Linked DNA regions of Yarrowia lipolytica. The protein of the gene in region 1 interacts with the protein of each later gene in a pairwise test. Links are inferred from orthologs where the notes say so. Each region holds a gene or a part of one and is shown in the gene's direction. Other genes may lie near its edges. The genes, in order: YALI1_D21702g and YALI1_E04420g.

Evidence for each region.
Region 2: the proteins of YALI1_D21702g (region 1) and YALI1_E04420g interact in binary tests that used the Saccharomyces cerevisiae proteins (3 or more experiments, as listed by UniProt). The link is inferred for Yarrowia lipolytica from reciprocal best matches to the Saccharomyces cerevisiae genes GCN1 and GCN20.

What each region holds. Positions count from the first base shown.
Region 1 is NC_090773.1:2,168,675-2,173,542, forward strand, and holds the start of YALI1_D21702g (uncharacterized protein), read left to right. Parts: upstream 1-1,560; coding exon 1,561-1,644; intron 1,645-2,087; coding exon 2,088-4,868. UniProt on the Saccharomyces cerevisiae protein: Ribosome collision sensor that activates a translation quality control pathway when a ribosome has stalled during translation. Directly binds to the ribosome and acts as a sentinel for colliding ribosomes.
Region 2 is NC_090774.1:439,148-443,924, reverse strand, and holds YALI1_E04420g (uncharacterized protein), read left to right. Parts: upstream 1-1,848; coding exon 1,849-4,128; downstream 4,129-4,777. Other genes in the region: YALI1_E04437g (uncharacterized protein), read left to right, coding at 155-1,390. UniProt on the Saccharomyces cerevisiae protein: Acts as a positive activator of the GCN2 protein kinase activity in response to in response to low amino acid, carbon, or purine availability.

The sequences.
Region 1 (4,868 bases):
CAGCCTCCACTATACTGCCTTACCAAATTCTAACTATGCACTTGACAAAATGTCCTGACTTGACTAAATACCAACTGTAGTCAACTAAACCAGCCTCAGATTGGCAAAAGACCCCATGTGGTGGTTGAGACGCGGGTTTTGATCCACAGCGCCCTTCAGTCGCATGATGGTATGTCACGCGACTCTCGTAAAGAGATCTGGCACGGAATAACAACGTCGTTCATCACTGGCCGGTTTAGTTGCCGTTTGTAGGTGTGAAACGGTGGTTTTTATATTTCGCAGAGGCCGGGTAACTTGAGTTTACAGTTTAATTTTATTTCACCAAGACGAGTTCCAAACCTTAAATAAGGCAAGAGATGTGATCTGACCGAAAATTGTGGATGGGTCCATGGTGGTTCGTAGGGTGTTGAAAAGAGATAACAATCGATATTAGCTGTATTTTAAGCTATGACGAGTAGTTGCAGTGTCCAATAATACTCGTAATCTGTAGAATGAAGCTGCTGAAACTTAATGTTGGAAAGTTCAGATTTTTCACCGGACTTTAAAGCCGGTTTGTTGTGCAAGATATGACTGAATGACGTGAAACGTCCAGTATGGATATCAGAGAGTGAAATCGTACTATCATCAGAATCCCCCGGTTCTAGCGGTCACGATGGTACCATTATCATTGTGATAGCATCTCGAGATGCGGTTTTATGAGGGACGTGACCCAGAATTAGATGGAGAAGAGTCTTCGACAAATATAAAGTAGATTGTTGTATTCACTAAGCAGTGATCAATCTATATATCTCACCGCCGACAACATGTCTGCATTTCTATCACATCCTGGGGTCCCCACAACCCTAACCTCCCGTTTCCCGCCCTAACCCATGAAAAAGTGTCACACCTGCATTTGAAGCAAAGATGTCGGATCACATACAAATTACAAGTTTGGACTTTGAGGATTATACAGGCCATCGCAGCTGTTGAATACAGTGAGTACGAGAAGGGGACTGGGGGGAATGACACGGAGAGTGTGGCTCAAACCAGAACAACACTAACACAGACAATTATGGTGAGTTATACACGATGGTTAATGAGGTGGTTATAGAGGGTTATGAGAGGTACTGAGAGTGAAGGGGTGAGCGAGAGATGTGGGCGATGGAGAGATGTGTGTGAGGAGCGAATTGTGAGCGACATTGGCCAGTTCTAGAATGATATTGGTGACTGGTTGGTTGGTCCGTTGAAGGGTTTGTTCTGGAGAGTGTGGAGTCATGTCACCTTGTCTGATCTCAGGACTCGGATTTTCAGGTGGTTATCGTGATACCTTGGTGTGGATTAGATGTGGATTGTTTCAGACAGACAGACAGATAGAGAGAATGACGCAGAGACCGACTCAGACAACTTCAGACAGACAGATCAACAAACTACAGATCTAACCAATTACTCAGTCCTCATACTCAAAGCGATCATCTGTGAGATTTCACCATAATCCCCGGTTGATCGGTGGGCTCTGGAGAAGAGCCAAGATAAGACACATATCCTCAGACACAGTGACAACGAGCTGGAGAGTGAACAGCTATGATACACGGTGTGATCAGGCTGGATCGTGATCTACTTCCGTGTCCATTATCACATCATGTCATCGTCTTCTCATCTGGATCAGTTGGTTTTGGGGTCCCCAGTTGATTGAGCTTTTCTCCAAGTCCCTGTTGCGCTTTCGTGCCTGCATCCTCTTGTGCAAGTCTCTTGTGCAAGTCTCAGATTGTCCGTCGCGCGCAATTCCTGATGTCTCAGAGACTCCAGATCTCACTCAGAGCCTTGCTGGTTTCATCTGCGGATTGAACCCAAGTCTATCTCTTTGTCGACTCATGTGCTATGCCCAATGTCTTTTGAAGCCTTATCTCGTTCCTAAATGTGTTCTCTCGAGCTAAGACTTCACTCTCAACACTTGTTGACCCCCAATGACGCTGTGCATTAATAGTGCGCTCGTTACTGAGCTCATAGATGATTGTTGTCCACGCTCAGAATAGAAATACAGCTTCCGTGCAATTGCTGGACGGGTTCGTGTTCTTTTGTCACGCACAACCATTCATTCACTAACCCAGATGTCATCCACCAAAGACCGGCTGGAGTTTTGGAAGGAACAGCAAATGCTCCTGTCCTCTCCCGACTCCCTTCCGTCTATCCTCAGTGCTCTTTTTCAGACTATTCCACACTACTCCGACCACGTATCGAGGGACGTGGTAGTCGACACGTGGAAACTGCTGCTAAAGGAACACCCTGCCGCCCTTCAAAAGGTTGTGCCCGTGCTCGCCAAGCAGTTTGCCATCTACAAAAAGTCCTCCACAAACAACCTCATGGTGCTGCTGGAGTGGACCAACTACTTTGTGTCCTTCTCCCTGACCAACGCCGGGTCCGAGCTCAACGACTTTGTCTTCAAGGACCTCATTTCCATGCAGGCCGAGCTCGTGGACCTGTGCTCAGCATGCAACCGGGAGCGAATGGCCAAGAGCGCTCTGAGGCAGACCCGAGCCGCGTTTGCAGCCTGCATCACAGCTAACGGAGCTCTGACCAAACTGCTGAACGTATGCCTCCCAGGCACCCCCACGTCTACGGCTCTGCTGGGCTGTCTAGCATCTGCATGCGCTGAAAATGCTCCTCAAACTTTTGAGCAGCTGGATCTTTCAGCCTACTCGCAGTTTTACGGCGCCAACGTGCTCGGCGCCAAGGTTCTGCCCTGCAAAAACGCCACCAAACAGTTTTGCACGGGATACTTTGGCAACCTGTCTCGTGACCAAAAGTCCAAGGTCGCGGCTGATATCTTTGATGCCACCAAGAAGTCGATTCTGAGGTCTCCCGAGTCTGTTCTCGAGTACGCAATTCCCCTGTTGCTAGAGAGTCTCGATAAAGACGATGAGTCAGCAAAGAAGCTGGTTGACGGCATTTCCGCTTCCCTGGTCACATGTCTCAAGTCTTCCAATCAGCTCACTCGAGATGGAGCTGTCACATGCATCGGAGTGGCCTGTGCTATCTCTCACGAGACCCTCTACTCCGAGTTGGCCAAGACTGTGTCTAAGGTGACTGTGTTGGAGCAAAAAGTGGCCTATGGAAACGCTATTGCTGGCTGTCACGTGACCGATCCTTCTCTGTCTGCCGCCCTTGCTCCTGTGGTTACCAAGGAGAAGAACGAGATTGCCCTGACTGCTCTGTCACGTGCCTTTTTGGTCCACTTTTCCCCTGATCAGGCTAAGACTCTCTCTTCTGGACTGTCTGACTCCAACGCTGGCGTCGTCAAGACCTGGGTTCTACAGCTGGTCAACTTCCCCCAACACGCTGAGCACGTGACAGGTGAGCTGGAGAAGATTCTCGCTTCTTCCACCATCGTCAAGGGTGCGATTTCTGGTCTTGGAGCTGTTTACCTGCTCACCAAGGCTGGAAAAGCTGTAAAATCTGACAAGGCTCTGGAACTGGCTCTATCTCCTCGAGTGTACACCAAACTCAGTGCAGGCGAATTTGTCACTGGTTTCAAGGCTCTGGAGTCGCTGTTCAAGGAGGTTAACCCTGACAATGCCCCCGACTTTGGTAAGACCATCTTCTTCTATGCTTATGGCGACTCCGAGGTCAAGGTGGACGTTGACTGCTCTAGATTGGTTGGTCCCGCTCTGAGGAGCAATTACTCGGATGGTCTGGCTGGGGCTGTCATTTCTGGAATTTCTGACACCCACGTCAGCGAGAGAAAGTACTCCAAGTTGCTTTACTCGCTGTTTAGTGCCGAGAACAACTGCGACAAGGCTCTTGTCGATGGGCTAGAGGTACTGTGTGGCGTCGGACTGTGGATTGAGTCCGTTCTGGGAGCATCTCGAGACCCCCGAAAGTTGTTGTTGGACAATGAGAAGCATGTCAAGTCGATTCTGTCTTCGGCTGCCTCCTCCAACCTCTATCCTACCATCGCTACAGTCTGTTTCATTGCTCCTGACGTCTTTGCTGGTGAGGTTGCCGAGCAGTTCTCTGTTTCGAACCTCTCCTGTGTCACCACTGAGGCCGTGACCATCTTCAACACTCCCGCTGACGAACTGGCTTTCGATATCAAGCGAACGGAGCGTGTGGCTCACAAAAACTCCAAGGAATACCAGGACAAGCTGTGGGAAGAAAACCTCAAGAAGGAGCTCCAAAAGAAGAAGGGTGTTGTCGAAAAGCCAAAGTACACCAAGGAGGAACAAATCAAGGTAGACGAACAGATGAAGAAGGAGGCAGAAATTAGAACGGAGGTCACCGCAGTCGCAGATCACGTGACCCGGCTCATGGGCATCATTTCCGCCCTCTCCAAGGAAGCCATGACGGTTGATAACGGCAAAGAAACGTGGTTTGGACCGGCCATGACGCTCATGCTCGAGCTCCTCAGACACCCCAACGTGGATGTGCTTTGTTCCAGTCACGTGACCAAGACTCTCACGGACATGTCTTGGATCACCAACGACAAGCTGGGTTCCATTAGACCCTTCCTGGCCGTCTGCCTGCTCAGAATGTATGGTAATCACGTGAGCGAGGACCTCCAGAAGGAGTCACGTGACTCTCTCATCACGCGGGTGCTGTACAAGATTCATTCTGTGGCCATGTCTTCTCCTCTTGACGCTATTTCTCTGATTTTCGTGCTTCCCATTGTCTTGTTTGTGCTCAAGAACCAGTCTCGTGACAAGGACGTGGCTGAGGAGCAAACGCATCTTGCCATTGAGATTGTCACTTGTCACACCTCTGCTTTTGCCGACGTGATTACTCCTCGATCTGAAATCATGAGCGCCCTCATTCAGCTCATGAAGAGCACTCCCACCAAGGCCAAGCTTGCTCGTGAGTGTCTGTACTCTGTGGTTGAGCACGTGGCTCTGACA
Region 2 (4,777 bases), on another chromosome or scaffold:
ATACTTTGTCCATGACTGGCTTAGTTGATTCAGGTACAGCGAGTGTGGAAAGTGCACGCACACCCAACATACAGAAGTTTAAAGCCAGCTCATTCTTTCTCCTTATCACTACTGCGATCTGAAACACCCTCAAACCGACACACACTCGTTACAAATGACGGCAATACGGTTCCGCATTATTGCGGCCATTACATTCGTGGCCCTTCTCTTTACGCTCATGGGATTCTTCATTTTCCCCTCACCGACATTTGCGATCCCTAAGAGCAAGGACTACACAAACGAGAGCAGTAGTGGGTCCAAGGAAGGCCACACTGAACTCGACAGTACCAACCAGTCGCACGATGACGAGGCTGTAGAATTCCCCGTTAAGGCTGCTTATTACGACATTGCTAACGCCCCCAAAAGATCGACCTCGTCGCCAGACGTGTATAGAGGCACCCGAGTCAACTGCGACCCCTACGCTCTGCCTGGTTACATCGACTACGACAAGAACAACTTCAACAACACCCACTGGGTCGGATACAATGACGACTGCAAGGCCATTCACCCGCCTCCTATTCTTCAGTTGAGAGACGGCATGGATTTCCCTGACCTCAGAGACAAGTCTGTGCTGTTCATTGGTGACTCGGTCGACAGACAGAACGCCGCCTTCTCGTGCGAAATGATCGGCCAGGATGTCAAGGTGACCTATCAGAAGGACTACACAGACGAGGTCACTGATCCCGCAAAGATGTCTGGAGGTCACCCTCGATACTGCTACTCTCCCGAATACAACATGACCTTATCCACCTTTTTCTTCTTTGGTTTCGACACTGATGAAATCTGGCATGACAAGAAGAAGTCATATCTGCTTCCTGGAGGAGTTTGGGAACGAATGAAGCTGCTAAAGGATATCGTCAACTCTCGGCCTCATCACAACGACCTGGAGCTGATTGTTCTTAACGTGGGTTTCTGGGAGCTGGCTCGATACGACCGTCTGGACGGTTACGCAGGCATTACCGAATCCATCTACCTCACCGAGGAACAGGTGCGTGAGTACGTGGTTAACCTGGAAAAGTTTGTCCTGGAGGTTCAGAAGATTCTGCCCAACTCCCGTATTGTCTTTCGACAGATGCATTCTCCTCGGGCACAGCAAGGCTCCTTCTTCAACGACGGCACTTCGGACCGACACAACCGGTTCCATTCGAACAAGGTGCGACAGCTCAACTCCGCAGCCAAGCATGTAATGGACCAGATGGGCCTGGAGTTTTGGCACGTGGGCGACTTTGTGCGTGCCATCCCCGAAAACCAGTACATGTTTGATGATCTTCACCCCGGCCCTATTGGAGCCGCCATGCTCTGGGGCAACAGCATTCTTGAGTACCTTGCACGAACCCCAAGAATCGAGTGATTAACAGTACAGTAGATGTTGCATGGAAATATAATAGAATGATTTTTTTTATTTGGTCCACAGACAAGTAACTGTATAGATATGGCAATTACAGTACAGTAGCCAGTAGCTACAGTGTACAAGTAGGTACGATACAGTATGATACGACACATCCAGTGTTCCATCTATATGTAAGTATGACATGCAGTTTGGGGGCTTGGTGTAGTGTGAGGAGAAATCGAGAAGGACATGAGTGGTAGATAGGTCATGAATGTGTTAAAATATAGATATGTCCCTTGAAATTGTTTTTATGTGCCACTTGTTCTCCTTACTCCATTGCCTACACACACATCAGCATTGCTCCGTACTCACAGTCTGTATACAAATTAAGCTCCAAGGAAATTTCATCACCAGGTTAATGCAAATAAAGGCAAATAAGGACTTATACTGAACCACCAACCCAACCTCACACCTCAAAGATGCCTTCAATCGCCGCTGAGGTCACCAAGACCGCGAGAAACGTAGACACCGTGGTTGTGGACTACGCCACTGGCTACATTCGACATCTTGAGAACAACATCGGTCCCCAGCATGACCTGACAGCTGAGGCCTCTTTCATCGCCTCTCTGCTTGTTGGAGCTGGTGTTGAGAAGCCTGCTGCTCAGCAGCTCTACGACCACATGCTCAAGGAGTTTACTGTTCTTCAGAAGGAGGCCATCAATGAGGCCGGCGCTTCTGCCCAGTCCCAGATCATCGATCAGCAGGCTCTCATGTCTGCCGTTAACCACGCCTCCAACCGACAGGCCAGTGTGCTCAACAACAACATCTTTGGTGTTGCTGATCTGGATCACGTTGGCGGCCGAAAGGTCGAGTCTCGAGTTGACAAGAAGAAGCTCGAGAAGGCTGAGAAGAAGATTGCCGCTAAGATGGCTGCTCGAGCTGCCAAGGACGCTGCCCAAGTCCAGTATGAGGCCTCCAAGCTTGTCACTGAGACCCAGGACAGCAAGGACTACGACGAGTTCTTCCTCACAGTTAACCCTCTGGATCTGGGTATGGCTGGTGCCGGTAAGACCAAGGATATCAAGATCGACAACTTTGATCTGCACGTCGGTATGGGTCAGCGAATCCTGTCCGATACCTCTCTTACTTTGTCTTACGGTCGACGATACGGTCTGGTCGGTCAGAACGGTATTGGTAAGTCTACTCTTCTGCGAGCTCTTTCTCGACGAGAGCTTCCCGTCCCCAAGCACATTACTATTCTCCACGTCGAGCAGGAAATCACTGGAGACGAGACTTCTGCAATCCAGTCCGTTCTGGACGCCGATGTGTGGCGAAAGCATCTGCTCAAGGAGCAGCACACTGCCGTCACTCGAATCGCAGAGATTGAGGCCCAACGAAAGACCCTCACTGAGCAGGGTCTGGACGACAACAGTGCTGAGATCCGAGAGCTCGATGACGAGCAGGTCGACCTGGAGACCAACCTCGAGGAGGTCGAGACCAAGCTGGTCGACATCGAGTCCGATAAGGCCGAGTCTCGAGCTGCTGCCATTCTGTCAGGTCTTGGTTTCTCCCAGGCCACCCAAGGAAATCCCACAAACTCCTTCTCCGGTGGATGGAGAATGCGTCTGGCTCTTGCTCGAGCTCTGTTCTGTAAGCCTGACTTGCTGCTACTTGATGAGCCTTCCAATATGTTGGATGTTCCCTCGATCACCTACCTTGCCAACTACCTCCAGACCTACCCCTCCACTGTTCTTGTTGTTTCCCATGACCGAGCCTTCCTTAACGAAGTCGCCACCGATATCATCTACCAGCACTCCGAGCGACTCGACTACTATCGAAACGCCAACTTTGACGCCTTCTATGCCACTAAGGAGGAGCGATACAAGAATGCTATCCGAGAGTACGAGAACCAGATGGCTTACAGACAGCATCTGCAGGCCTTCATTGACAAATTCAGATACAACGCGGCCAAGTCCTCAGAAGCCCAGTCACGAATCAAGAAGCTCGAGAAGTTGCCCATTCTGGAGCTGCCCGAGGAGGATAAGGCTGTGGAGTTCCGATTTTCTGAGCCCGAAAAAATCTCGCCTCCCATTCTACAGATGCAGGGCGTCACCTTCGGTTACAACCCTGAGCGACTTTTGCTCAAGGACGTTGATCTCGATATCCAAATGGACTCCCGAATCGCTCTTGTCGGTGCTAATGGTTGCGGTAAGACTACCCTGCTGAAGCTTCTGACTGACCAGCTGAGCCCTGTTGACGGATCCATCTCTAAGCACCCTCGTCTGAGAGTTGGCTACTTCGCCCAGCACCACGTTGACGGTATGGACCTCAACCTGACTCCCACCGCTTGGCTCGCCAAGATCAACCCCGGCAAGTCCGAGGAGGAGTACCGACGACATCTCGGTTCTTTTGGTATTACTGGTTCCATCGGTCTCCAGAAGCTCGCTCTGCTTTCTGGAGGTCAGAAGTCTCGTGTTGCATTCGCCTCTCTCTGTGTTTCTTACCCCCATATCCTCATTCTTGATGAGCCTTCTAACCATCTTGATACTGCAGGTCTTGACGCTCTGGCTGACGGTCTCAAGAATTTCAAGGGAGGTATCCTCATGGTTTCACATGACGTTGACATGATCAACCGAGTCTGCAACCAGATCTGGGTCTCCGAGAAGGGAACCGTCTCAAAGTTTGACGGAACCATCAAGGACTACAAGAAGTACATTCTTTCTCACGCAAGTGAGAGTGGTGTCGTCCAGCAGCACTAAGTATTTAATCTCATAGAAACAGTGGTATGGAGCATACCTGTACGTTTTGACTGTATTAGTGTTACGGGTAGCTAATTTAGCGTGGGTGATACGATGTAGTAATTGGTTGTACAAGTAGATAAGAGTGTACAAGTACAGTATAAGAACGGGAGTGAGAATCAGGAAAATCAATTGGGAAATGGGGGGTACTTGTACAAAAAGTTGAGCACATATCTTGTGCATTCATAACTGAAGGTGTATACTGTACAACGGTGTATGTACTACTTGTAGTATGTAATTGAAGGTGGAAAATGACATTGGGAGAAGTTTCATAATAAAGAGATCTATAAAAATGTAAAGTACAAGTACTTATATTGTATAAGTAGACACAATCGACCATCATTTTCACAAAAAAAAAATACATTATGGTGGTTGGAAAAAAAAATGCCTTCGACCAGATTTGAACTGATGATCTCAGCATTACTAGTGCTGCGCCTTACCACTTGGCCACGAAGGCTGGAAAACTTTGATTTTGTTAGAACCCAGACCCATGACTAAGCAGACTGATGACTCAGAGCGCCATACGCTCTTCTGAACAACCGAAGCTAAAGAAAGAGTTTTAATTTGGCGAAATTTTTACTGAAAACGACCCAAAATAGGACTACTGTAC